Linked DNA regions of Caenorhabditis elegans. The protein of the gene in region 1 interacts with the protein of each later gene in a pairwise test. Each region holds a gene or a part of one and is shown in the gene's direction. Other genes may lie near its edges.

What was found.
Region 2: the proteins of unc-42 (region 1) and ztf-15 interact in a two-hybrid assay, tested with the Caenorhabditis elegans proteins (one large-scale study listed by BioGRID).
Region 3: the proteins of unc-42 (region 1) and fozi-1 interact in a two-hybrid assay, tested with the Caenorhabditis elegans proteins (one large-scale study listed by BioGRID).
Region 4: the proteins of unc-42 (region 1) and dmd-6 interact in a two-hybrid assay, tested with the Caenorhabditis elegans proteins (one large-scale study listed by BioGRID).

What each region holds. Positions count from the first base shown.
Region 1 is NC_003283.11:9,764,017-9,771,277, reverse strand, and holds unc-42 (Homeobox protein unc-42), read left to right. Parts: upstream 1-1,921; 5' UTR 1,922-2,008; coding exon 2,009-2,059; intron 2,060-2,112; exon of another isoform or gene 2,113-2,250; intron 2,251-2,928; coding exon 2,929-3,043; intron 3,044-3,525; exon of another isoform or gene 3,526-3,598; coding exon of another isoform or gene 3,599-3,611; intron 3,612-3,747; coding exon 3,748-3,835; intron 3,836-4,245; coding exon 4,246-4,426; intron 4,427-6,132; coding exon 6,133-6,189; intron 6,190-6,239; coding exon 6,240-6,415; intron 6,416-6,461; coding exon 6,462-6,633; 3' UTR 6,634-6,744; downstream 6,745-7,261. UniProt on the Caenorhabditis elegans protein: Probable transcription factor. Required for initial outgrowth and pathfinding of axon growth cones along the ventral nerve cord (VNC).
Region 2 is NC_003279.8:7,253,660-7,259,221, forward strand, and holds ztf-15 (C2H2-type domain-containing protein), read left to right. Parts: upstream 1-1,851; 5' UTR 1,852-1,867; coding exon 1,868-1,891; intron 1,892-1,935; coding exon 1,936-2,049; intron 2,050-2,094; coding exon 2,095-2,184; intron 2,185-2,232; coding exon 2,233-2,319; intron 2,320-2,361; coding exon 2,362-2,577; intron 2,578-2,761; coding exon 2,762-3,235; intron 3,236-3,374; coding exon 3,375-3,767; intron 3,768-4,068; coding exon 4,069-4,563; intron 4,564-4,615; coding exon 4,616-4,759; intron 4,760-4,809; coding exon 4,810-4,962; 3' UTR 4,963-5,040; downstream 5,041-5,562. Other genes in the region: Mitotic checkpoint serine/threonine-protein kinase bub-1, read left to right, coding at 1-123, 169-938, 983-1,472.
Region 3 is NC_003281.10:9,280,037-9,284,816, forward strand, and holds the start of fozi-1 (Formin-homology and zinc finger domains protein 1), read left to right. Parts: upstream 1-1,744; 5' UTR 1,745-1,897; intron 1,898-4,780. UniProt on the Caenorhabditis elegans protein: Acts redundantly with hlh-1 to promote body wall muscle cell and coelomocyte specification in postembryonic mesoderm progenitors, probably through suppression of sem-2.
Region 4 is NC_003282.8:14,614,732-14,622,620, forward strand, and holds the start of dmd-6 (DM domain-containing protein), read left to right. Parts: upstream 1-1,871; 5' UTR 1,872-1,979; intron 1,980-2,332; exon of another isoform or gene 2,333-2,353; intron 2,354-2,438; exon of another isoform or gene 2,439-2,459; intron 2,460-2,624; exon of another isoform or gene 2,625-2,645; intron 2,646-3,275; exon of another isoform or gene 3,276-3,296; intron 3,297-3,402; exon of another isoform or gene 3,403-3,423; intron 3,424-3,516; exon of another isoform or gene 3,517-3,540; intron 3,541-3,644; exon of another isoform or gene 3,645-3,665; intron 3,666-4,402; exon of another isoform or gene 4,403-4,423; intron 4,424-4,466; exon of another isoform or gene 4,467-4,487; intron 4,488-4,680; exon of another isoform or gene 4,681-4,701; intron 4,702-4,719; 5' UTR 4,720-4,723; coding exon 4,724-4,942; intron 4,943-4,996; coding exon 4,997-5,126; intron 5,127-5,450; exon of another isoform or gene 5,451-5,471; intron 5,472-6,792; exon of another isoform or gene 6,793-6,849; intron 6,850-7,285; coding exon 7,286-7,359; intron 7,360-7,777; coding exon 7,778-7,889.

The sequences.
Region 1 (7,261 bases):
GAATGAGAACCAGCATGGGTTCAGACCTACAAAATCAACGATCTCTAATCTGATGAATAGTTTGAATGACTGGACAAGCAACCTAGATCTGGGAGCCCAAATTGACGTCATATTTAGATTACAGCAAGGCATTTGACAGAATTCCCCACGACATTCTCCTCAATAAACTGATACGCCTGGGACTGAATAAACATATCATAGTCTGGATCAATAGTTTTCTAATAGAAAGGACATTTAGAGTTAAAATAGGAAATACACTATCTACTGTAAAAAACGCTAAATGTGGGGTTCCGCAAGGCGCTGTACTCTCACCAGTTCTTTTTGGAATTTACGTTAATGAGATCCCAACAATACTGCCCGCAAATGTTAAAGTGCAGCAGTTTGCAGATGACACCAAGCTGTATGTACACACGCCAAAAGGCGACCAGATTAATAGTCTGCAAGAAGCAATAGACAGAGTAGCAAATTGGTCCGTCAGTAACAAATTGGCTCTTAATGAACAAAAAAACCGTCCATCTCACGATAGGGAAAAAACGCCAAAATTTCACTTATAAGATAAACGGCCAGGATATCAAAAAAGAGTCAACGACACGTGACTTAGGTTTTATGATCTCTCATAATCTGGATTTTAGTGAACACTGGAAAAAGGCTATTAATTCCTCGAAATTTCAAATGTCACAAATTTTTAACCATTATAACAGTAACAAACCAAAGCTGATGATCCTATTATATAAAACATTTATTGTGCTTTTGCTAGAGTACGGAACCGTTATAAGTAGCCCACCAAAGCAGTCAGATATAGGAGCCATCGAGGCAGTTCAAAATTCGTTCACAAGGCGTCTATATAGTAGGACTGTAGGCAAATACGTCTCAATAAGTGATCCGGAATATAAAACCTCGACAGAAAGAAATGAATTATTTGGGCTCACACCGCTGCAAGGACGACGTCTGACAACCGATAAAAAAATGATTTTGAAAATGTTAAACGGTAAAATAGATCTGAAAGTACCTGAATTTTTTACCTTCTCGGACAACACTAGAACGCGTTGTAAAAGAAAGTTCTCTTGGAGCAGATGTAAATTTAAAATTAGGAAACATTTCTTCGTTAACAGAACATTAAGCCAACCGTCATTCCTCAAATTTTTATCTAATTTAAACAAGGATAACTAAGTTAGGAAACGAACGACATCTACTCTTGATCAATAACATTCATTCATTACTATCCTATGATATCTCCTGTTTTTTTATCCTACTCCTTCTCATGCTCTTTTTCTACGCCTCAGGTTCTTTCACTTTGCCCATAATCTCCCAGTCCACCCTCCGACATGAATCTTTGTATGTATCATCTTTTTTCTTTTCACGCTTCTTCAAGAACGTAATAAATTATTATTATTGTTATTATTAAATGACTACAAACATTCTGATTACATTTCCCTTTTTTTAAACATATCGCAGCATTTCTACGTTTAAATAATTCAATTAATTATTTTTAGCGTAACTGAGTATTTTAGTTTAACCACAAATTAAATCCCCTTTCAAATCGAACCCACAATTTTTCCAACCCAATTTGGATTTAGTCCGTGTGTTCGTGTGGGGTTCGCCAGTTGAACTGCTTCTCTAATTGCGATTATCGCCACCCGGCTTCAGAGTCCGTCCAAACTCGATTATAGCTTTCGCTCTCCACCGATCACTGAATTCGTTGCCGTTAAGTGTAGAAGCTCAGTTGAAGAATAAGAAGACGGAAAGAAGAAGCTGTCAAATAATCTAATTTACTTGACTCTCTCAAACCAATCCAAATCAAAAAGAAGGCGTGGCTACCTAGCTCTTCTGGCGGAAAGATGGGTACGGTGGTTGGGGCCGGTGGTGAAGGAGGAGGAGCAGCCGGAGGCGGACGGCGACCAGTCAGCTGCCCCTCTCTTCAGAAGCAACCCTGTCCGCCTCCACGACGACGTCGACAACGACTTCGGTCACCCCTCACTTTCCACATTTCTCCGCTTTCACTCACACAATGAGCGACAATCTGCTGAACGGTGCGAACGGAGCATCAACTGTCTCACAGGTAATTTGCTAACTAATTCTAGTCTCCGAGGCCCTCGACGCAAACGAAATAAACAGTAATACGATTTGGTGGCGCCGTCGGTCGTCGCCGAGAGCTCCATAATTAACTTTTCTGGCGCGCACAATATTCTTCGTCTCCTGAAGACGTTGTCGTTTTTCGGAAGACGACTGGGAGGAGTCCAAGTGTGTGTGTGTCTTCCCCTCATAAATTCATTATGGAAATTTGATTGTTAGATGCTCTCACGATCAGTGGCACACACACACACAAACCTCCTCAGTTGTCTTCCGGAGCTGGTATCGATAGCCTTCCAACTTTTCTCGCCTCCAATTTCCCTAGAATTATTGTTCAGCTCGCCATTTTAATTGATGTTAAAATCAAAATCACAGACTACCGTACCATGGACATCAATAATTTAATTCACAAGAAATAACTTTAGACATGGGTTTGAAAAAACTAAAAGTCCCACCACAAACACCGCTAAAGATCTGATCTTGGTGTGTTCAATCCTAAAGAAGCTAATGTTGGACGGGGTTCTAGATAATGATCATACAATACCTCGACACTGATGTCTGATTTTTTAGTCACAAAAAAGTTAAAAAACCAACTGTATTAGTTTATATTAGTTTGTAAGTGGAACCGAACATTTTGAAAAATAGATCTTAAGCCGGTAGAATCTCTGCTGAAAAACTGTTAAGTCACTGAATTTTTATTAGTCTTCTTGGCGTTATGTTTTACTTTAAAGTTCTAGTGTTACTGTGGATTTCCTTATTACCGTCCTTCCATTAATCGATTCCAACAGATTCCTCAATTCACCTTACATTAGTATAAAAACGTTCTACTGGAACCTACATCATGATCTATATTTTCAGTTCCAAGAAAAAGTGAAAGATCTTGGAGTATCTCTTCACGATTTCACTGCCTACTATCCGAGCTCTTTGGATACAGTCTCGGCAAGTCTTCGTCCAATTTCGGATCCATCATCAGGTTAGTCTCTACATTCCATCTTCTTTTTTTCTACACTGGTAGGGAGGAGCTTCGCTTTAGCAAGGCGAACAAAATTACATCAGAATATATCAGATTTGCGGAATCATATTTGATGTCTCTCCTTCGTCGTCCGCATGCCAGTTCATTCCTTGCATCAGTGCCTTCTAGGTTGAGCAAAAGGTCCTTCTGACCCTGAGCTTCTCTTATTATTTCGTTTGATATTCTCACCTATCCCAAGATTCAGCAAAAACCACTTCAAGTGTTTTCTTTATTAGTGTTGCGCAATAGCTTCCGCCAAAGGTATCATGCTGTGTTAGTACAACTGATACCCTTACCATGTCCCCCCGCCTTGCTCTTCCCCTCCTCAATGGTACTTCACATCTCTGGAGCATGTGCCACCGAGCCAATTATGACGCCTGTTGCCAGATGCTCACTCTTATCCATCCGTTCTATTGTATCCACTAGTCTTGACTTTGTGCGCGAAGTGTCTCTCTTCTTATTTACTATTTTAGTACTTGTGTGAGCAGATTTAGGAATTAACAACTCAATCTAACAATGTATTATTATGGTAAGACAATGTAGAGAAGGGTGTCATATTTCTTTGATTATTCCTTGCAATTCACACTAAGAATTTCGAAATTCTGCATTCCTCCGAACATCTGCCCACTTTCCATTTTTAAGCCTTAAAACTGGTGATGTTGCAGATGGCGCCTTCAAAAAGATTAAAACCGAAGGACTCGGTGGCTCGGTATTTGGATCTTCGATTGCTGGGGTCACGAACACGCCTGCAAGGTGAGTATTCTTAATATTTTGGAAGATAGGGGTACGGTAGATGTAGAAGGGATTTGATGTATGTAGGTATTCAATGTCAAAATAAGGCAGTTATCTAGATTTCATTTATTGAAACTACTCCAAAAACCCAGTTTTTTAAAAGTAAATTTGGCTATTTACCAAACCCTTGACAAAATATGTTTGCGTTTATTATTTTTTTGGCCACTATTTGGCCAAATTTAAAAATTTAGAAAGCCAAATATAATTATACAACTTGAAAGAGCCAAAATTTGACTTGTGCCGCCTATATTTTCATATCTTCAATTTCTATCAATAGTCAAGTTAATTTTCAACAAACTCTACCGTACTTCTCACGTATTTTCTTGCCTTCCCCCACCCACCTAGTGCTCCACGGCCTTTCTTAATTGCAGGCTGTGTAGCCTAGAACGGCCCGAATCAGAGCGTCTCAATTCCAGGCGGAGACATCGGACGACATTCACTCAGGAACAACTTCAGGAGCTTGATGCTGCATTCCAAAAGAGTCACTATCCGGATATCTACGTTCGAGAGGAATTGGCAAGGATCACCAAGTTGAATGAAGCTCGAATACAGGTGAGCTTCGAAATTAAACTGTATGCTCAATTTGTGAGACATGTGCTCTAATTTGTTGTTTCTTTCTCTTCTTCATATTCTTTATCTTCTTCCTCACTTCTTATTGGTATTCATCTCGCGTTAATTGCTGCCTTTGGATAGTTGTCTACCACCTCCTGGTCACCTACTGTGCGCTAAATCCACCACGCACCATCACACATCTGGTAGGGATTAGATATTGAGCTTGTGAAGCTGAGAAGAACAAATTGAGACAAAAAAGTCAATCTGCCATAATAGGGAACTTATACAACTTTTAAAATTAAAAATTAACATAGATGTACAGAAATAATATATAATTGATTAAAAACCATCTTGAAAAGTTTGATGAAGGAATTTCTTTGAAGTATCCGTTTGTAGAGAAAAGAATGCACACATATTTGGTAAACGACAATGTTCAGCCGGTAATAGTTTTTTGGATTGTTCAACTAAATTGAATATAATTTTCGAATTAATCTGATTTTTTTCTGCGTTTCGAGCTTTATTTCTTAGTGCTGAAAAGATGGGTTATCGTTCCTAAATTGACGGTTTTGTGGAATTACCAATAATGTTTTCAGCACATCTTTGACTTCAAATAAGCTTCTATTTTTTGGTGATTAAGCTTTCAGTTCTGACTGTTTTCTTTGCGATCTACTGATGTAAGTTATCTTTTGCTATTTATAAAGTTCTCTGAACTTTTTTCTATTTATAGAGTTCTCTGAACTTTCTAATAAAACAAATAAAACTTTGCCTAGATTCAATGATACATGCTTAAAACTTCTCACCCTTTCTGATTTTTTTCATTGTCTACCTACTTCCATATCCGTCATACGGTATCCTTTTTTTTTAAATATTCATAATAATAATAATAACAACTCAAAACTAGTGCCTTTGAATCTCTAAAACTCTTGTTCAAAAGAAACTCTCTATCACCAGTCTACCGTAACCCATCGTCTTCTTCTCTTCCAACATCGGCGTCTTTGTTAGGAGGCAAGCAAATTGAATTATGCTCTGCCTTTGCCGCTTTCTCAATATCCTTCCTCACCACAGCTTTTCCCTTATTCTTGAGCAGTCTATCAACATTTAGAAATACAGAAAAAGGAAATGAAGGGACTTGATAAAAAGAAAAGAGAGTGTAGCGAGGAACAGAAAAGGAAAGGAAGGATTAAAGATCCGGAGACAGTAATACTTTATGACGTGACTTTTAAAAACTTTCTTTGGTTGGATTGTGTGGGTATTAAGATACTTTTGAACTTTGTAGAATCTGAAATAAATACTCCAATTATTTGTTTACATACAATCTTGTAGAATTTGGTTGTCGTATATACCCAACAGTATACATTATTTTAATACTAAATTGCGTTTTTAATTAATTACTAAATTGCGCCAAAATCACATTTATTCATTTTTCCCTGATAATTTTAAATACAATGTTTAACGTAGAATTATAAATTTAAATACATTTCTGACTCCAATTCGTAAAATTAAAAAAACAATGACACACTAATGTATTACTAGATATCTTGTTTCTAGATGTAAGGATTTCAGGATTACTGTAGCGTATTCACACTTCCTTTACTTATTGCGTAACAGTTTTGCCACCTGGCTGTCTCTACTCCATCCCTCTAGATCTGACTTGATCATACTCATACTCCCCACTAATTTCTCGAGTAATCCAATTTTGTTTGCAGGTGTGGTTCCAAAATCGGCGAGCAAAACATCGGAAGCATGAAAAACAATTGAATAAGGTAGGAAGATGACGAATATATTCTGAATTCATCAAAAAAGTTATTTACAGGCAATCAATCCCCCGCACTCATTCCTATCCAATCCAGCGAATACTTTGATGCGACAAGGAATGTACCCAGCTGCATTGAATCGTGACGGTTTTTGGTATCAATCATATCAACGACCAATGCCATACCCAACAGCTTCTCCTTCATATTCCAACTCGTTCACTAATCCCATTGCAAAGTTTGTTCGTCTTTTTACTGTGGGATAAATATTTCGTTAATTTCAGTTTCGGTCATTCCATCACCTCTTTCCAAGCTGACGACGAGTTCTACCAGAAAAGTTTGGCACTTCGAATGACGACGACACCATCGGCCGCTACAGCTGCTACCTCACTTGCTAATATTAACTACCAGCAGACACAACCATCTGAAGCTAGTACCAACCCTCCTTCAATCTAGTCATTAACATTACAACCAGACATTTCTAATCTCCAAAGTTAACAGAAAATCCAATAATTTATGATTGCGTGTGAAATCAATTGAACAAATAATAAAGAGATCTCACTGATAGACTAATGTTGGTACGTACATTTACAAAAAGACAACGGTTTCCAATAAAAATGTTGAGAAATATCACAAAGGAGTGGGAAGTCTACGAAATGGAATGTTTAACGCGACTGATGATAAATACAATCTTACAAAACTTATCTGCCTTCTTCCTGTATTAAATATCCGGATCCTTTCCCGTTCCGCGTGTCACAAAATCACTTCTATTTGGTTTTGTCTTGTTAGAGAAATTTTGAGTAAACACCAAAAAAAAATGATTTTCGTATTTTATGTGGTTACCAGCCGCTGACCGCGCCTACGGCGCGGCCAACTCGTTCTCAGCACACTGCATTCAGTAGCGTACTCGTTCTCAGCACACTGCATTCAGTAGTTCTGGTATTGTTATCACAAAACATAATAAATAAAAATGACATGAACCGCCCATTTTAAAAGGAATTTTTTTGTTTCCATTAGGGAACAAGATAAATTCTTAATAGAATTTGGTGGCGGTGAATCGTTGTGGACAATCTTAGTCGTGATT
Region 2 (5,562 bases), on another chromosome or scaffold:
CCCGCACAAGGAGTTCATTTGGTCAACATTGATGAATATTTCGGAAATAAAGAGGAGGAAAGCACTCACGAACAGGAAGCTCCAGTATTTGTTGCTCCAACCAGCAGTACTTTCAGTAAATTAGTAAGTGCCAGACAAATTTTCGACATACTATTCAAACTTTTTCAGACACGTCGAAAGTCACTAGCAGCAAATCAAGCCGTTCAGCCCTCAGTCACAGAGTCATCAAAGCCTGAACGATCAGATCCTAAAGATTCATCTATCGATTGTTTGACAGCTAATCTAGGAAGACGTCTTTCAATTGGTGCTGATGAAATTCCAAATCTCACTGAAAACAACGAATCTGAAATCACTGGTTGCAAGATTCGTCGGCGCAGTGAAATTATCAAGCAAGGAGACATCAATCCATGGGACGAAACTCTTCGAAAAAAATTGATGTGTCTTGTGCGTCCTCCCCAGAATATGCACGAGTTCCAAGAACGAGCACCGAAGATTCAAGCTCTGAGAGACTGCGAGGTTAGCGGAGAAAAGCTCCACATTCAAACTCTTATTGGTCAAGGTGGATACGCTAAAGTATACCGGGCTGTAACCGATGATCAAAGGACAGTAGCTGTGAAGTACGAGGTGCCATCATGTTCGTGGGAAGTGTACATTTGCGACCAAATGCGGAATCGCCTGAAAGATCGAGGTTTGGAGCTGATGGCCAAATGTTGCATTATGGAAGTGATGGATGCTTATGTTTATTCAACTGCTTCGCTTCTTGTTAATCAGTACCACGAATATGGAACGCTGCTTGAATATGCGAATAACATGAAGGATCCGAATTGGCACATAACCTGCTTCTTGATTACCCAAATGGCCCGAGTTGTGAAGGAAGTCCATGCCTCTAAAATTATTCATGGAGATATCAAACCGGATAATTTTATGATCACCAGAAAGTATGGGAAAACATTTGTTAATTTTAGACGTTATCTTTTTTCAGGATCGATGATAAATGGGGCAAAGATGCTCTGATGAGTAACGACAGCTTTGTCATCAAGATTATCGACTGGGGACGTGCCATTGACATGATGCCACTGAAGAACCAGCGTTTCAAGGGAAGAGCAGGAACAGAAGCGTTTGATTGCCCGGAAATGGTTGACGGTCGTTCTTGGACTTACCAAGCCGATTACTTCGGATTCGCCGCAACAATGGCTGTCGTTGTTGCAGGAAAGTATGCACAGTTGACTGGAGCTAGCGTTGGAGACTATTCGTTAAATGTCGACATCAAGAGGCGCAACATTCTTCGCGATGCTTGCTACGATGTCATTAACAGATTCCTCAACATCCCTTCGTGTGATTCACTTCCGGACTGGAATATCCTGATCAAGTCTTTCTCGGAAATCTGGAATGAAAAGTTTGAAGCATCGGGATGGCGACAGGCGGTTTCCAAGTTCAATGAGGCCTGTGATCTTGCCGCCAACCAAAAGTAGCCCAACACAATGAATTTGTATTTCGTGCTCTTATTGCTCTCTTTTATTGTCTTTTGTATTGATATCATGTGAATAAACTCGTTCGGAGCTTTAATAATTGTGCATCTAATTTATTTCTGGTAAAACAAATTGAATTAAACGAAGTTTTCAGTTTTTGAAAGCTTTCCAAATTTGAACGTGATATTCGAGATTGGGCGCGGCGAGACCCATCACGGTAGAAATTTGATGCGCCTTTAAAGGGAAGTATTGCAATAGATCACAGTTAGATCTAAATAGTTGCACATTCGTTTTGTTTCATCAACTGTTTTCTTCGCGTTTTGCATAAAATGTGATATTTAAAAAAGAATTTAGAAAAAATTACAATTAAAATATTTTCCAGCCATCCTCTTGTAAAAATGGAAGAATCAGATCAGACTGTGGTGAGCGCTAGTGTTTAATCAACTTATTTTGCAAAAAGTTTCAGCTTTTACCAAATGTCGAAAATGAAATTGGCAGTTTTTATCATGACATGCCTGATGAAAAATTGCTTCGTCATATCAAAGCAATTTTCGACGAAGCTTCACTTCGACCATCTTTGGTATTTAATCTTCATTGAAACCTCAACATAAAGTTAGAGTTGTAGACTAAAAACGTGCCATCCACATCTTCACAAGTCACAGAGGAATTGAATAAAGTTGAAATCAGAGATCCAAAGCATGAAATGCAAGATGAGGTTGAAATATAAATTTGGTAAAAATGCTGTATAATTTTCGAATTCCAGCAATATCTTTCAATATTCGAAAATCCGTCCGGAGTTCAGTACAACCAAGCTGATGGCTCATTTTCGTGGAATAATCGCTTCCATAGTGTAAAAACCAACTGTAATTCATTTTCTAATGAACATTTTCAGGACAACAGCGTCCAATACATAAACGTGTTGAACAACTATGGTTGTGAAGGTGCTGATACACTATTAAATCAGTCAGACAGTAGCGATGAAACCGATGAAAGTATCGAAGAAAGACGGACCCCACGAGGAAACCGGCAGTCGCGTAGTAATTTGACATCGAAACCCTCTGCCAAATATTGGACAAAAAGAGGAGGAGATCCAATTGTTAATTGCTCGGTTAGTTCATTTTAGTTCTATATCTCATTCTCTGTAAATGAACAAAAACCTTCACTATTATCACTATTATACCATATCACTATTATAGATTTATTTATTACAACTTAAAAGTGTGTACCAACCATCAAATTTCTCAAAATCTAAAGCATAACATTCTGAACATGATTTTATTCTTCAATTTCAGTGCTCAATATGTGGATCCAAATTTTCAACCATTCGCTGTCTTCTTGATCATCGTCATCAAGAACATTCACTGAAAGATATGATGATGTGTGGTCTCTGTGGAAAAGAGTTTTCGAAGCGAACACATATCTATTTGCATCTAAGTCAAGAATACAAAGTATATCATTGTGACGGTTGCAATACATCGTTTGCCAGCAAATGGCACTTGGAAAAGCATCGATGTAAGGAAAATGAAACAATCGACGATAAAAAACGAAGAAGAACGGGACGTGTAAATGCGGAAGAAATAAAAGTAATAAAAGAAGAGATTCAAGATGAAGAATTTGGTGGCGTTGTTTTGTCTAATGAGAATCATGAAAAATCAAAAGAAGACCGTTTCCAATTCGCTTGTGTATTATGTGGAAAGAAATATCAACACTATCATTGGTTGCTCAAACATAGAACCAAATGCTTGGAAACAACGGACGAAATTCAGGTGGAGAATGTTTAGTGAAACGTTTTTGCGAGAACTTCACTAATTGAAAATATAAACTAATTTAACAGATTATTTTTTCTTGTTTTACAAAAAAAAAATAAATTTCAGTCAGAGATGGGACATAAACATTGTTTTGCAGGAATTCAAGTGCAATGTTTGCTACCGAAGATACAATTCGAGTTTTTGGTTCGAACGCCACATGGAAAAGTGTAATTCATCTACTGCACTTCCTCCTGCGCTTTTAGATCAAACCATAAGCTGTCCAAACTGTCATAAAAAATATCAAAATGAATATTGGTTTGATTATCACAAGAAGCATTGTCCAGACATTACTCCAGCTCTTTCTGATGTACATTTGGATGTCAACTCGTTGCGGGACAGACGACCACGTGAAGGAGAGATCAGCGTGGTTCCAGATGTCAATTTATTTGGTATAGAACCTGAAAGAGAAGACGACAATGACGATGACGAAGATGCTGATGCTACCATTTCATCCTCATCTTCTTCGACTGGGAATTTGGTCAATATTCCGGTAGATTACTTCATTTCTTTTAAATCTTTTTGTTTGGTTAACATACTTCTTTCAGTAATCATGTCTTAAAATCTAAATTATCACCAAAGAATGTAAATTTAACATTTTGAAGTGAATGATTCATATGATAAGATTGTATTAAAAGGGAATACGTAATAGGATTACTGTAGCTGTATCTGCAATATTGCGGCAAAAATTGATTTCTATTGAAAAATTGAAAAATTGAAAATTGACAAAGGTATCATTATGTTTTACAAAATTGAAGCTCTAAATATGTTGTTCTTACATTATAAGTTTTCAGTGTTCCATCTGTGGAAAGTTCTGTGTCGGTGTTGCAAGTCTTCTTCATCATCGGAAGCAAATTCATGGATTGACTGCAATGCTAACATGTGGTGTGTGCACGAAAAAGTTCAATACACTAAGTTCGATTCGTCGTCATATGAGTATGGAATACTCAATCTTCCGTTGCCAACAATGTGGCCGAAACTGTATCGATCGAACCACTCTTGACCGTCACGAATGCTTCAAGCCATACAAGATCCGAGATAAGAGACTTTTCAATATTCAAAATATATCAGTTCTCAAGTGCCCTGACTGCAGAGCAACTTTTGCAAATTTGAATGTTCTGTCTGAACATCGCAAGACGTGTCAATACGGCAACGTATTTGATAATATTCAACAACCGGGAAGTTCTTCTTTACGACAACATCACAGGAGCGATACAAATGGAGCCGCGTTGCAGAGAAAAATCACATCCCGTGTTCGTCTAGATTCGAATACTCCAGAGAAATGGACGGTTTGTTAATTTTCCTAATTAAAAAATAACGTTTGAGAATTTATAATTTCAGTGCCGAGATTGCCACGCCTCCTTTCATAACCTGCAAGCGTTGTGCTCACATCGACACGAATCTCACGGAAAAGAAATGTTTCAATGCAACAACTGTTCTGAAACCCTTCCAAACTATCGTGCTCTCCATGATCATAATATGATGGTAAGTTTATATGTAATGAATTTATATCACATATGCTACAACATGACCAGCATTGCAGGAACAATAGATCTACAAATGAAACAACTACGAGAAGATATTCGGAAGAAGACATCAATTACGATTACATGGACAATGTACAAATATTCGTCGTAGAAGAAAGTGAAATTTTCATTCCTATTCAACCGCATTTCTCGAGAAAGTAGATAATTCTTAATACGATGTTATGTACTGCTCCCTTGTGCTTTATTCTTTACTTTTCAGACAATAAAATTTTGAACGTTCTGTCTTCTAGATTTAAACCTTCTTCAATTAAACTCCATGTTTACTATTATTCGTTCTTCAACATTCCACAAGAAGAAAACGTTTTGTGATTCTTACCAAGCAAAGGGAGTTCCTGGAAAAAACCACAGCGCGAAACCGTACTACTTGAGTGAAGTATCCTGCCAGATCCTGGTGTCTTATCATCATTTGTGCAGAGTAAATAGAAAAGAAGAAAGAAAGAAAGAGATTGTATTTACATAAGAGAGTCTTAATTACAACTTTATTCTTGAAAAAGAAGAGTTGATGATGATGATGACAGACACACCGTTTGCGTTTTTTGAATTGATTTGATTTTCTAGAGCCTGGGGCTTTTGGAAGGCAGTTTACTGATTGATAATGTGGAGGGTCGATCGCTAGAATCGAAAGAATTATGATGTCAACGAGACTTTCAGATTATATCAATTTCAGACGTGTGGAGCGTCGGGAGAAATCAACAGAATTTAAAGATCAACGGAGACTCGGCGCGCGAATCGTTCAAACAG
Region 3 (4,780 bases), on another chromosome or scaffold:
GATAGAAGAAGGGGGAGAGAAGTGGTCTGCGTCTCGTGAAAGTGAACAATGATTGCGTGAAGTTCAAACCAGATGTGGATATGTGTCTAGGATTTTGGAGATTTTCAGAACTAGAATTTAGGTTTTAGGCTGACTTTTTCGAGATTACAATGAATGGTTTATTTTCTTGAGATTTTTGTGGGTAGCACTACCTTGGAATACCGTATTATCCCTGCCAGACTTGAAACATTTTCAGTGTCTTTCAACATACCAGAAAAAAGCTAAAGCTTGCGCTATGAGTTTTCTTGATTTAAAACTTTAAAAATAAGAACTTTCACCTTTTGAAATTATTTACATTTCTTCGAAAGAATCGGACTTCTACAGACTACAGTTTTCAAATTTATTTTCCGAAAATTTTCCCACTGTTTTCTTAGTTTCTCTAGAATCTTTACCTGCTCAAAGTTCACACCTATTCATTTTTGTTTTCCCGTTTGTTGTTTTTTTTTTCATTCACCTTTTCTTTTTCCCCCATTCATCGAGCTTTTTTTGGTGTCTGTCATCGAGTCCATGGGCTTAGCGAGGCTTGAAGATGAGCGCGCGCAACTTTTCGCGTTGATTGTCGCATTATTCCCCCGCGATCCCATTTTGCTCTTCTCATCGCAACAGCAGCAGGCTCACACGTCGTTATAGTCTCCTGTTTGTTTCGCAAAAAAGGACTTGGCGTCCCCGAGAAGAAAACGATACGCAAACACATATATAGATTGCAAGCAAGAGTGAGAGGTGTGTGCAAGCTTAACTCGGAACACAACGGGAGCCACCTCTCGACCTTGTATGGGAGAAGAGTCAATGCGCCTGGAGGTTGAGAAAAGAAAACAATGATCTTGATCCAAAATGATCTCGATTTCTTTTTTGAGCATTTCCAAACATCCAGAGAGCTCATACCGTAACTTCCTACTATTTTTAACATCAAAGCTCTATATGCTATAAGATTATGAAAAATGTGATTGAAAAATGGAGATTTTGAGAACATCCAGGGATCATCCAATGGTGGTTTACAACTTTTGATAGCTTATTTTATCCATTATAATATCCAGATTTTTCACAATTTGTCACTTGTTATAGTAGCTTTGTGACAGATTTTTATTTTATTTTTGCTTGAAATGCTCTCCACAGGGTGGTTTTTTTCGCTGTTCTCTGTATTTGAACAATTTTTTAAGATTTTTTCAGTTTTATTTCAGCTAGAAAAGTTTAGAGTAAATAGGCTACGGTATAAAAAATAGGTTACGGTAGAAAAACAAAATCTTCGTAAATTGTTTAGATTTTTTGAAATTTTCAGTTGACGATTAGGTAAAATGGTAAAAAAGAAATGTTCAAATGAAAATATTTTTAAAAAAATTTGAATTTCAAAAATTTGTTGCAGAAGTTTAGAGCGTTCATGTAGGCGCCAAAACGTCATTTCTTAATTTAAAAAAAAGTTCAGAAAAATGCGCGAAGATGGTGTGAGGAAGCCAGTTTTCAGGCAGGCGCCATGTTTTGAAACCGAGCCTGCCTTGTATAGAAGCAATGCAGAAATGAACATTTTCATGTTCAACATCTGAAATTATGAGTGATTGCAAAAAAAACCATTTTAAAACATTTTTTGAAAAGTTTACTTGGCTCTAAATTTAAAACTTTTGTTTTTCAGAAACCTAAATCTTCAATGTTAGAAGCTACCGTAACCCTTCTCCCCCGTTTTCAAAAAATCTCATCTCTCCTTAATTTGTATTTTCAGAGCATCCTACAACCTCTTCTCCAACGTGCTCCAGCCAACTGACCACTTCACTCTCTGAAACCGTTCGCAATCAGCGGAAGACGCTGGTGGGGATTCGTCTCCGGCCGCCTGCGCCTGTACACACAATGACATAGACACAAAGAAAAGGTGAGGAGTGTGATCGTATTGAGAAATGTGCGAAAACGGGAGTAGGAGCTCCTGTGCTCAACCTTCTTATTCTCTTTATTTGACATATCGAGAGCATAGAGATGGACACCCCCTTAGAGCCACATTTGGACTTAGGCCAACGCCTGTGGTAGATTTGAAATTTCTAGTTTCTTGTTATGTTGTTTTCTTGTTTTGCTTTTCACCTTCTGAAGCTTCAGAAGCTTCTTTTGCCATCATCAACCCAATTACTATAAAGTAACAGAAACTTTCGCTGATGCTTCTCTTTCCTTCGTTTTTCTGGTACAAGTATCCGCCATCGAATGAAAAAATCTTGTTTTTAGCCCTCCCTAGTGTTCGTTGATGTTTCTTTTGTACATATATCCGTCGCTCTCTCCACCTCCATCTACTTCGATGGCAGTTGTTTTGGTGCAGGCACCAGGGGCGCAAAGGTGAAAGTGACGAAAGAGGCGTGGCAACCAGGAAAGAGTGGACCCTTAGTTTCCCAACGATTCGCCGCTTTCCCTCCATTTTCTCTAAACTTTCTCAGCTTTTCGGCTTTATCGACAGCTTCGTTCACCGTTCTCGATCATTTTTCTCACCTGAATTTTCAAAACTTTTGTCTTTTTTCCATGGAATACTTTTACATTTTCTATATGTAGTTTCATTTGTTCCAAAAAAATAAGTATTTTCTGGATAATAGGTTTCTGTATCTAAGTTTACGGTAGGTGCAAGTAACTTTGCGTAAAAATTGAAAATTAAAATGATTACTCAACTTTTTGAATACCATATTTCTCTAAAAAAGACTTGTCTTAGACCTTGCTCAACTTTGACAGTTTTGGCTCCAAATGGTTTCATCAAACAACTGTCAATTGACAAAATACGTGCAAAATATTTTTTCTATATTTTGATAGTGGAACATTTTTTGATAAAAACCTAAGAAAATCGAGATATAAGCCACTCAAATTATAACATTTTTTAGAAGCTAGAAAACGTAATTTTCAGTTTTACCTTGTCCCCCTGAAAGTTCATGAATTTCAATTTAATTATTTTTTTCCAAAAACCGCATCGTGCCAAAGATTTTCATTTTAAGCTTTATCCTAGATCCACCCGACCAGATTACCATAAGTTGAACTTGTTTTGTTTGTTGAGTTTTTATTCCAGCAAAATCGCACCGTATCTCATCTCTGATTTGTTATTCCCATTGTTTTCTGGTGGAGGTTTCGTATTCGAAATTTTTTTTTTAATTTTTAACGGCAATTTTGAATGTATTTTTCAAATGTTAACGAAGAGTTTTTTCGATAGTGTTACTGGATCTTTGATAAGCATATGATCTTCTTAGCTTTATCGTCTGATTTAAGTCCAGTAAAAAAATAATCTAGAAAAAGTTGAGCAGGTTTTATGACTGTTTTTGTGAGGAATTGTAGATTTGATTGAACATTTTTATAATCTAAAATTATTTTTAACTCAAACTTCAAAAAGCACTTCAAAAATGCAACGAGTATGATGGATGGAAGTCAACCACAAAAAAACATATTTTTTAGATTTCTAAAACTGAAGGCTCTAATTTTTTAAACATTAAGTTTCTAGTAACAAAGTCAAAATTTACTCTGCTATTTCGTACTAGCTACTTCCTCATTTCGAATTTTCAACTTTGACCTCATGGACATATCCACGTGTCGACACAATTTCTAATCGGCTAAGCTCCTACTTAGTCAGTTTTCATCGCGACTAATATTTAACAACGATGGCCTTATCCTATTCAGTTAAGCCTTGGATTCAAAAATTTTGAAAATCTCATACGAAATTGAAAACCTATCAACGTATCAAGTTGGTGTCGGGTCTTCTATATTTTTTTTGGTTAAAAAGAAGATTGAAGCCCTTTAAATTTTATCCAGCTTCATCGAAGATTTCACAAATTTCAATGAAATTATTCTTCAAAAATCATCGAGTCTCCTCCCTTCTTCCCCCACTTTTTCGACATTAACTTCCCATTTTTTGAGAGGTCATCAAACTTTTAATGATCTCTCGAGTCGTCCATCAACTTTCACTCATTTCACAGTTGTTTTACGGCTCATAACTCCGCGAATCTCGCACCCATATAAACTCTCATTTTGCTTGATAATTTCACACTCAGTTGCAATGAGTACTGTAGTCTTTATGAAGTCTAAACTTAAAATTTTCACGCCAAAATAATGTGAGAATTTTAAATTTTCTAACCATGATTGAGAGAAATTTCCAAAAAGTTACTGTATTTCCTTACATTACTTCACTTTGAAAAGTTACATTTCGGTTTATTTTGAAGATTTCAAATTTTCGTACTATTCCTTTAAAAAAACATAAATAATAAAATTTATGAAGTATCTCATTGGTTTCACTGCTTCATATTTCTGGGAAATAAAATATTTCTATTGACCTAAACTATCTTAAAATTATCTATATTCCAATTTAATACTATGTACTTTCCATCTCACCCATCTACCGAGTTAACTGCAAAATTTTTCAAAAGTTATGAAACTAATTATTCCTCCGGCAAACAAATGTGCCTATCACACGCTCTATTCATACCATATTAACTTGCTAATCAACTACTTTTGTGTTGTTAATCACTGACACATATGTAAATTTCATCCTCCAATATCTCGCTCCTATTGTTCCTCCTGTTTTTGAATCATGGTGGTGCTGCCAACTCAGCTCCACTTAGGGGCGGCGCCTGATGTCCAATTGGGCTCTGCCGGCTTTTGCTACCAACTCATTACTTTTACACCTACGGTACCTATTTTTTGTGTTTTTCAGGATACCTCTCAACTATTCATCAGCTTCATCTAGTCATCTTCTTTTACCTGTAAGTAGTGAACAAAACAAAAACTCGAAGATCCAATGTTT
Region 4 (7,889 bases), on another chromosome or scaffold:
TGAAAAATTTTGCAACAAAATTTTTTTTGTGATAATTTTGAAACAGTAATTTTTTTTCAATTTTTTTTTTCAAATTCTATAAAAATATTTCTCGCAGTTGTTTTTCATTCTATTTCGTTCCAATCAAAAAATTCTGCGATCTCTTGTTCAACATCGTTTTCTCTGATCATAATCTCAACACAAGCAGCTTTTCCTCCATGTATTTTTCGAGATGTGACGCCTTTACAGGGAGGGCGTTTGATCTCTACAAAAGCGTGAGCTACTTAGTGGGGCCAGAAAAGTGCAATTTACTTGCATAAGAGTAACAACAAAAATCATAGCGACCCCCCGCCTGCCCGGCTGTATCTCGATCACGGATCTTTTGAGTAACATCAGTTCCAATTGAATATCCGTAATTTCCGTAGTATCCGTAGTATCCGTAGGCCGTAGTTTGTAGCAGTAACAATTTTCTGGATAGAAGTTTAAGAAGTAAATCTTAAAACTTGAAATCAAGAAATAAAAATTAATAGTTTAACTTTCGAAGTTTGAATGTCAAAATTTAAAAATTTTTAAAATTTGGAAATTTTTTTCACTGTTTCAAAAATTCCATGAAAATTCCTCGCCGTTTCAAGTGTTAGTAGTAGTTCTGAAAGATCCCAATGAACATTCTGTGACTCGATATCTCCACCTCCAGCAGCAGAATCCGTTCAAATGTGGGATTTCTGCATTTACCGTGTTTTTCTTATCTAACTCGGCGGATCTAACCTTTATTCACACGTACATTCAAGAATTCAGTATTTGTAGTAAGTGTAGTTGGTGAGAAATTAACTGAAAAATTAACGAAATCCGATCTTATTTTAAGTTTTCCAAAAAAAAAAATTACTGTTTTAAAATTTATTATAAGGAAACGGTGATTTTTTCGACAATTTTTCAATCCAATTTATTTCCAATTTATTTAACTGTTCTGAATCTTAATATAAACCATGTCGCTGGAAAATATAACAATTTTATGTGCAGTTGCAATAACTAAAATTTCCAAAAAAATTTGTTTTCCGCATTTTTCTAAGTTCAAGCTTGATTTCTCATTAATGGTCGCATCTTGTTCCTGTTACAGCCAGAAACCTAAACTTTTTTCACAATTTGTTACCTGTTTGGAATGTTAATATAAATTTCGCTAAAATATATATTTAAATCTGTTGAACTGCCGTTCCCGCCAAAATTGACCAATTTTAACTTTTCGGAAAAAAAATACTGTTTCAAAATTGCATGTTCCTAATTTCAACTTTCATTTCTCAATAACTTCGGTTCTTTTTTTTCCTGTTACAGTCAAGAAACTTCCCAAAAAATCCCTCAAGATATTCATCTCCCGTGCTTCGGCCTCTTTCTACCTTGAAACTCCTACATACGCCCTTAATACGAACTGTGTCTAGTTTAATACACTCGTTATTCCCTTCCATTGCATTTCCTCATCTTCACTTCATTCTGGATCGTTTTTGATTGGGATCTGAAGCTGCGTGGAAACTGGCTTTTTCGATGAAAACGTGATCGAATTTCTGCATTAAGAATCACTGATTAAAATTTTCAATTTACAGGTTCTAATTGTACTCTTTTTTTTTTGGAAATTTTTTTCACTGTTTCAAAAATGTTTCTTCTAAACTTTTCAACAAAACCTCACTGATTAAACTTCGTCCAACATTTTCCGACAGTTTTCTCTCCATATATACTTTTAATCTTTCGGTTCCCTCTGCGCACGTGAAAAATAATCGTATTAAACAGATTTCGTATGCAAAACTTTTCCATAATTTTTTCAAAAATCACAATTTTGGCTTCTCTCTTTCCAATTTACTATACAATTTCTCCGCAAATTTTTAAAGAAATTCCTCTTTTTTCAGACTTCATCTCACTTTCATTGCCAAATCATCAAAAAGAAGCCATTTTTGGTTGGAGCTCGTGTGGCTCAACAATCAAAAAAAAATATTATTTTGTGGAGCTGGTCATTGGTAAGTTCGTGTTTTTTTTGTTGCAAACATATTTAGCCACTTGAGGTGTCTAGGAAAACCGGTGAAGATGTTTGTATAATGTTAGTCGGAAGCACAAAATTAGTGCAAATGACGTGGCGGAGGAAACGGAAAAAATTCAAAATTTTGGACTTTGGAAAAAATTAACTGTTTCAAAACATTTTGAAATTTACACAGAGAGCATTGTTTTTTTTTATAAACAAAACTTAAGTTTGAAAATTGCAATAATTTTCGTCGCTTCTTGTAGCTTGGCTGACAACCACAAAGTTTTGGTTTCAAAAATATTTTACTGTTTCAAAAAGTTCTGAAATTCACAAATAAATGTTTGTTTTTGCTATGATATCGCCCTGTATTGGTCCCAATAAACTAAACTATTCTGATTAAAAAATTTTCAACTGTTTCAAAATTTTGAAAAAAGTTCCATTTTTTTTAAGTGTTTGCTCTATTCTTTCTTTAAAAGTTTCACCTTATTGTACATTTTGTAGACACATTTTGTAGACTACAAAGGCTACGTGTTTGCCAGTTCTTTCACTTTTTGCCGTGTCACTTGTTAGTCATTTCTTACAAGAAATGGGAACTTTTCTGTTTCACAATGTCTTTTTCTTTTAAAAAAGTTTGAGCTTCAGCTGAAAAGAAGCTGAAAATTTTTGTTCCTGCTTCAAAGAGAAAAACACTGAAACTTTGAGCTTTTTGTTGTCAATTTACTCGGCGATCTTTAAAGAGACGAAGAAAAAGAAGAAATGTTTTGTCTGGCGGTTGTGTTCTCTGTTTTTGCGGGTCCCCCAACTCCAGTTTTTTGATCACTTATTTTTCCTATTTTTTTGAATCATTTTTCTTGACTTTTTCTAGATTTTTCTTCTCTGGAAAAGTCACAGAATGATGATGATAAAGTTTGTGATCAAAAACACACTTTTCGACCTCTTCAGTCATTCAACCCGGTTAGTGGGAGGAGGTGGAGAGTAGGTCAAATATTTGCACACCCCGCCTAAACTTTGTACCGCCCAATTTTATGTTCATTTTCTGTGTGCCGTGTGTAGTAGAGGAGGAGCAACAAAGAACCGAACTTACGGAACTTTGTACCTATGGAATTGATGTGTTTTGTATTAATTTCTATATTTTTTAAATTCTGTCGAAAGCACTTTGAACTTTGTGAACTTTTCATATTTTTATTTTGAAACAGTAATTTTTTTCTTCAAAATTTGAAATTTCAAAAATTCGAATTCAAAATTTTAATAAGATTTTAAAAATCTACATAAATATTTTTTGTTGAAAAATGATGAACCTACTTCGTTGGTAATAGCAAAAAAAAAAGAGTCCACAACATTTTTAATGCATATTTTGAAACAGTGAAAAATTTCACTGTTTTTAAATTTTTACGTATACATAACCGCAACATAATTTTTGATTTGTATTTCTTATTAGGAGTAAATTGTTATTTTTAGTCAGTAATCAAATTCATATGCCAAATTTCACAAAATTTACAGTGAAAGTGTTATTAAATTTCAAAATTTGAAACCGTAATTTTCCTGTCGTTCTACAAGTAGTATGCCTCTACTTTGAAATAATCAAACATTTTCCGTGAAACAGTAACTTTTTTTCGATTTTTAAAATTTTTGCAAATCCTTTACTGATGTGAGTTTTTTTATTACTAATAGAATCACATAAATATTACAGTTCCAGTTTTAAAACTCTTAAACATTTTCTGTGAAACAGTAAATTTTCATTAAGAATTCCAATTTTCAAAAATCATCTACAGTAACCTAGTTATCTCCATCTAAACGCTTATTTCCTTGTCTGAAAATGTCTTAATTTACTTCCTCTAGATATTTTCTACTTATTTTGCACAACCATCCTCTCATTTCCGTGTTCTGCTTCTTCTGTTTTGTGCTCCGTTCGCCTGGTCATCTATTTCTCTCTGTGTGTGTTCTAGATCACAATTTGTGTTGTGTTCTCCAGTGTCTCTGCTGCTTCGCGTTAGCATGTTTTTCACCCAATTTTTGAGCTTTTCGAGCCCAGACTAGTAGACCCCGAGTGATCTTCGAACACCCCCCTGTGTGTGTGTGTTCCCCGCATATGTGATTATTGAACCACTAGGGACTGGAAAAATAGGAACGAGGAAGCTGGAACACACACCCATCGAGTGTGTTTTTTTTCGAATGGGAAAAAAAAAAGAAATTACATATTTTTTTCTCTTACTCTCTTGTAGGTCCCTTTGTAACTTCCGCTTTGACCCTTGGAGCTCCTCCTCCATTTTTGTCACTATTCCTGATCAGTCTTCATGATTTTAGGTTAGCTAAGGTTAAGCTCTTGTGGATTACTGTAGTACTCTTGGAATATATATGTCTTGAAGAAAAATTACTGTTTCATTATTTTCACAAGTTTATACAGTGATCATGTTGCATCAATTTGCTGTGTGCATCTAGCAGAATTACTGTGAATCATTAAATTCAGTAAGACAATTAGATTTTTTTCGAAATTTCGGGAGCTTCATTATGTAAATCATAACTAGCCAACGAATATTCAAGTTTTGAAACACTAATTTTTAAAATTTATTGAAATTTTTTAATATTTCAATTTTCTGTTTCTAGAGGTCTGTTTTTTACACATATTTTAAACTTAAAAAATTAAAAGAATTCCTGTTTCACGCTGTTCGTAAGAAGTCTTACTTTGAAAAATCTTTTGCTCTCCTTCCGTACATATCTCAAATTCCCAATTCTTTCAGTAAAATGAGCCCACACATCATCGCTACTGTAACCATCGACGACGAGCATCATCATCATCATCACCGCAGCAACGAGAACTACTCTCCATCATCCCAAGACATGGACTCCCCAAAGCCAAAGGGACGCATCCTTTACTGCCGAAAGTGCGAAGGACACGGCGAGAAGGTGATCCTCAAGAATCACTCACCACAGTGCCCATATATTCTGTGCAATTGCAAATCGGTAAGTTCTAGAAGAGTCTGGGAGCTATTTTGTTTTCAAATTTTCAAATTTTAGTGCGAGAAGCTAAACTACAAGCGCCTGAAGTCGTTCAACAAGAGAAATAAGGAAAAGATCGAGTTGGCAGCAGCTCTGAATGCAAAGAGACATGCTCCAGAATCCGGATCCAGTGTTGACGATGAAGAAGGTGAGCTTTTCCCTGATCTCTGTCTCCTACTCCTTCACTATCAAATTAGAATCCATATAGTACCCATAGATCTCTGATTTCTCAGTTGTGTTTTGGCGCTTACTCCCTAGTTCCCCCACAAATATGCATAACTTCCGTCTAGATTTCCACAAAAATGTACTCGGTTGTTTTGTTCGTTTCTCGTACGCGATCGAAAATCTCTGTATGACTAACAACGTAGACAGCAGAACCACTGAAAGATCAAGTGTTATTTCAAAACTATTTTGGAGTTTGCGATGATGTTTCATATTTGTTAGATATTTTGGAAAGGACATGATCTTTTGATTTCAAGAGTTTACTACAAAATTCGATCCCATGACATTCACTTTTCAAAAACAAAGCAACTATTTGCCCAACTTTTGCAAAAAAGTAGACTGTAGGTACCGGTACTAGACTAATCTTTTGATAGTGTTATCAGTTTTTTTCCTTTATACCATTACAAAAATCACCTGATTCTTGCGCTTTCTGATCGTTCCAGTGTAATTCGTCGCACTTTTGGAACGCCGCAATAACAAAATTCTATATTCAGAACAAGTGTTCTTAGATCGCTGAAAATTCTATTTCCTAGTTCCATCCCTCGAATCTACGAATCTTGTTTTCGTCGTCTTGATATATACAAAAATGTGTGTCCTGATCGACTCGAACCCTCCACTGACCTTTTTGTTTTGCTCATTCGCCATCTACTTGTTTTTAGTACATTCCAGCAACTCTTTCTCCTCCTCCCCCCCCCCCTTTCATCCCTTCTCTTCGGTCGCTTCAGGACCTTGCACTCTTTCTCATTGCGTCTGCACACTCTCATCACATCTGTACTATTTCTCGTTTGCCCTGTCTGATTTTCGCAACTACTAGTCTACTCGGTTCTCATCGTCCTCTCGTTTTTCCACGTTTTTTCACATTTTAAGGCACACACACACACACAGAGAGGATGACGAAAAGGCGCTCACATTTTCAGTACACAATCACTTTTCTGTGTATGTGTTTGTGTGCCCAGCCTCCCGAGGACGACTGTCTCTTCTGTTATTCGCGAATATTTCAGGCATTTCGTCTAGTCTTCATTTTCATTTTTATGTATTATAATTTCGGTTCTGTCTTCAAAAAATTGAGCTAAACTCCTTGGAACGTCTTCCGTTTTGAGTTTTAGCTCCCTGGTTTGATCCCTTATGCAGCCCGTCTACGATCTTTTTGCATTTGATTATACGTAATTATTTTCTCTCTCTCTCTCCTTTTCATTTTTCACAATTTTCCCACTCAATTTATCTGTCTACAAAGTTATGCTTTGGTGTCTCAATGACTCACGACGGTTGGCACATATCTCGTGTCAGTTCAAAATAATAGCAATTATCATTTGAATATCCGCTGACCGATGGTTAGATTGAGCACGTATGCGCGTATGCTGGCCAAACAGAAATAGAAATTCCAAGTATGTGTCTGGAGCCGCCGGCTCGACTGTAAACAGATTTCCGTCACTTTTCTTGTTCTCAATTTTCGATGTCTACATATAAATGAATAGAGATTAGAAATCATCAAAATGGCGTTGACGTAGGCAAATGGTGAATCACATTAGCTCACATTACGTATGATCCCTGTGTTTTGGTGTGCTGCTCTTTCATATACATTTTTTTTCATTTCTCTCTCTCTCTCTCTCTCTCTCTCTCTCTCTCTCTCTCTCTCTCTCTCTTTTCTAATAGGACTGAATCAGTGGGAGTAAGTGTACACAGACTATGAAAAAATAATGTAAAAAAGGTGAGCAACACACCAGTCGCACCAAATAGTGAAGGATTTAAAGATCACCGAATTTCTATTCGCGTCTCTTTCTTCTTCCTCTCTCTCTCTCAACATGTTTCGTCTCCCATTTCACTCCGTCGTAAGCCGGCGGCATTATCCAGTGCGAGACTCCTTTCCCAAGTACGGAACCCTTGTGTCCCTCTACTGATCTTTATCCGGCACCTAGTACCTGTCCTATATACCCACACTCGGGGCCCCCCGAGAGAAAGAAAGATGCATTCGATTTTCTATTGTTTCTCATTCTGCAGTGAAACGCGAAACACTTTCCATTTTCTTCTTTTCCAACACATACACACACACAATATGTTCCAATTCAATATTTCGAAACTTTTCAGGCTTCTCCCGCCGTTCCTCATTCTGCTCAAAAACTTCAACACCAGACATGGACTCGGAGACGAGAACCTCATCGGTAAGTATTCTCCACCTAAACTAGACTCTTGTTTTGCACTTCATATGTGTAAGGCATCTGTCAATAGCTAGCTGGCTTTCTTTCTCTGAAATCGCGGTTTCTTAGGAAAATATTCTAGTCTGCTCATAGCTCTCACGCGCACCTTGACCTAACAGCTGCATGAGAAGAAGACGTCGACGACAGAACCAGTGAGAGAGGGAAAATTCTGATCTTATGGTTTTTAATCTGCTCCTGCTCCAAAGCATGCGCTCTCTCTCTCTCTCTCTCTCTTCGCACGCTGCTCTGGCTCCCTCCTCACGCAGCGGCGCTCACATTTTGTCAGAATAGGCGGAGCAGGTGCGCGAGCCCTGTTATTACTTTATCTTCTCATACTCTTGAGCTCATTTCCAATCTCATGCTCAACTATATTCCATTTCAGACGACTCCTATCACTCGTTCCAACTCCACAATGCCCACAGCTAATGGTCTTGAAGGACGAAGTGGCTCACTTGGGCACATGACAGTCATGTCCTATGATATTTGGAAGGCCA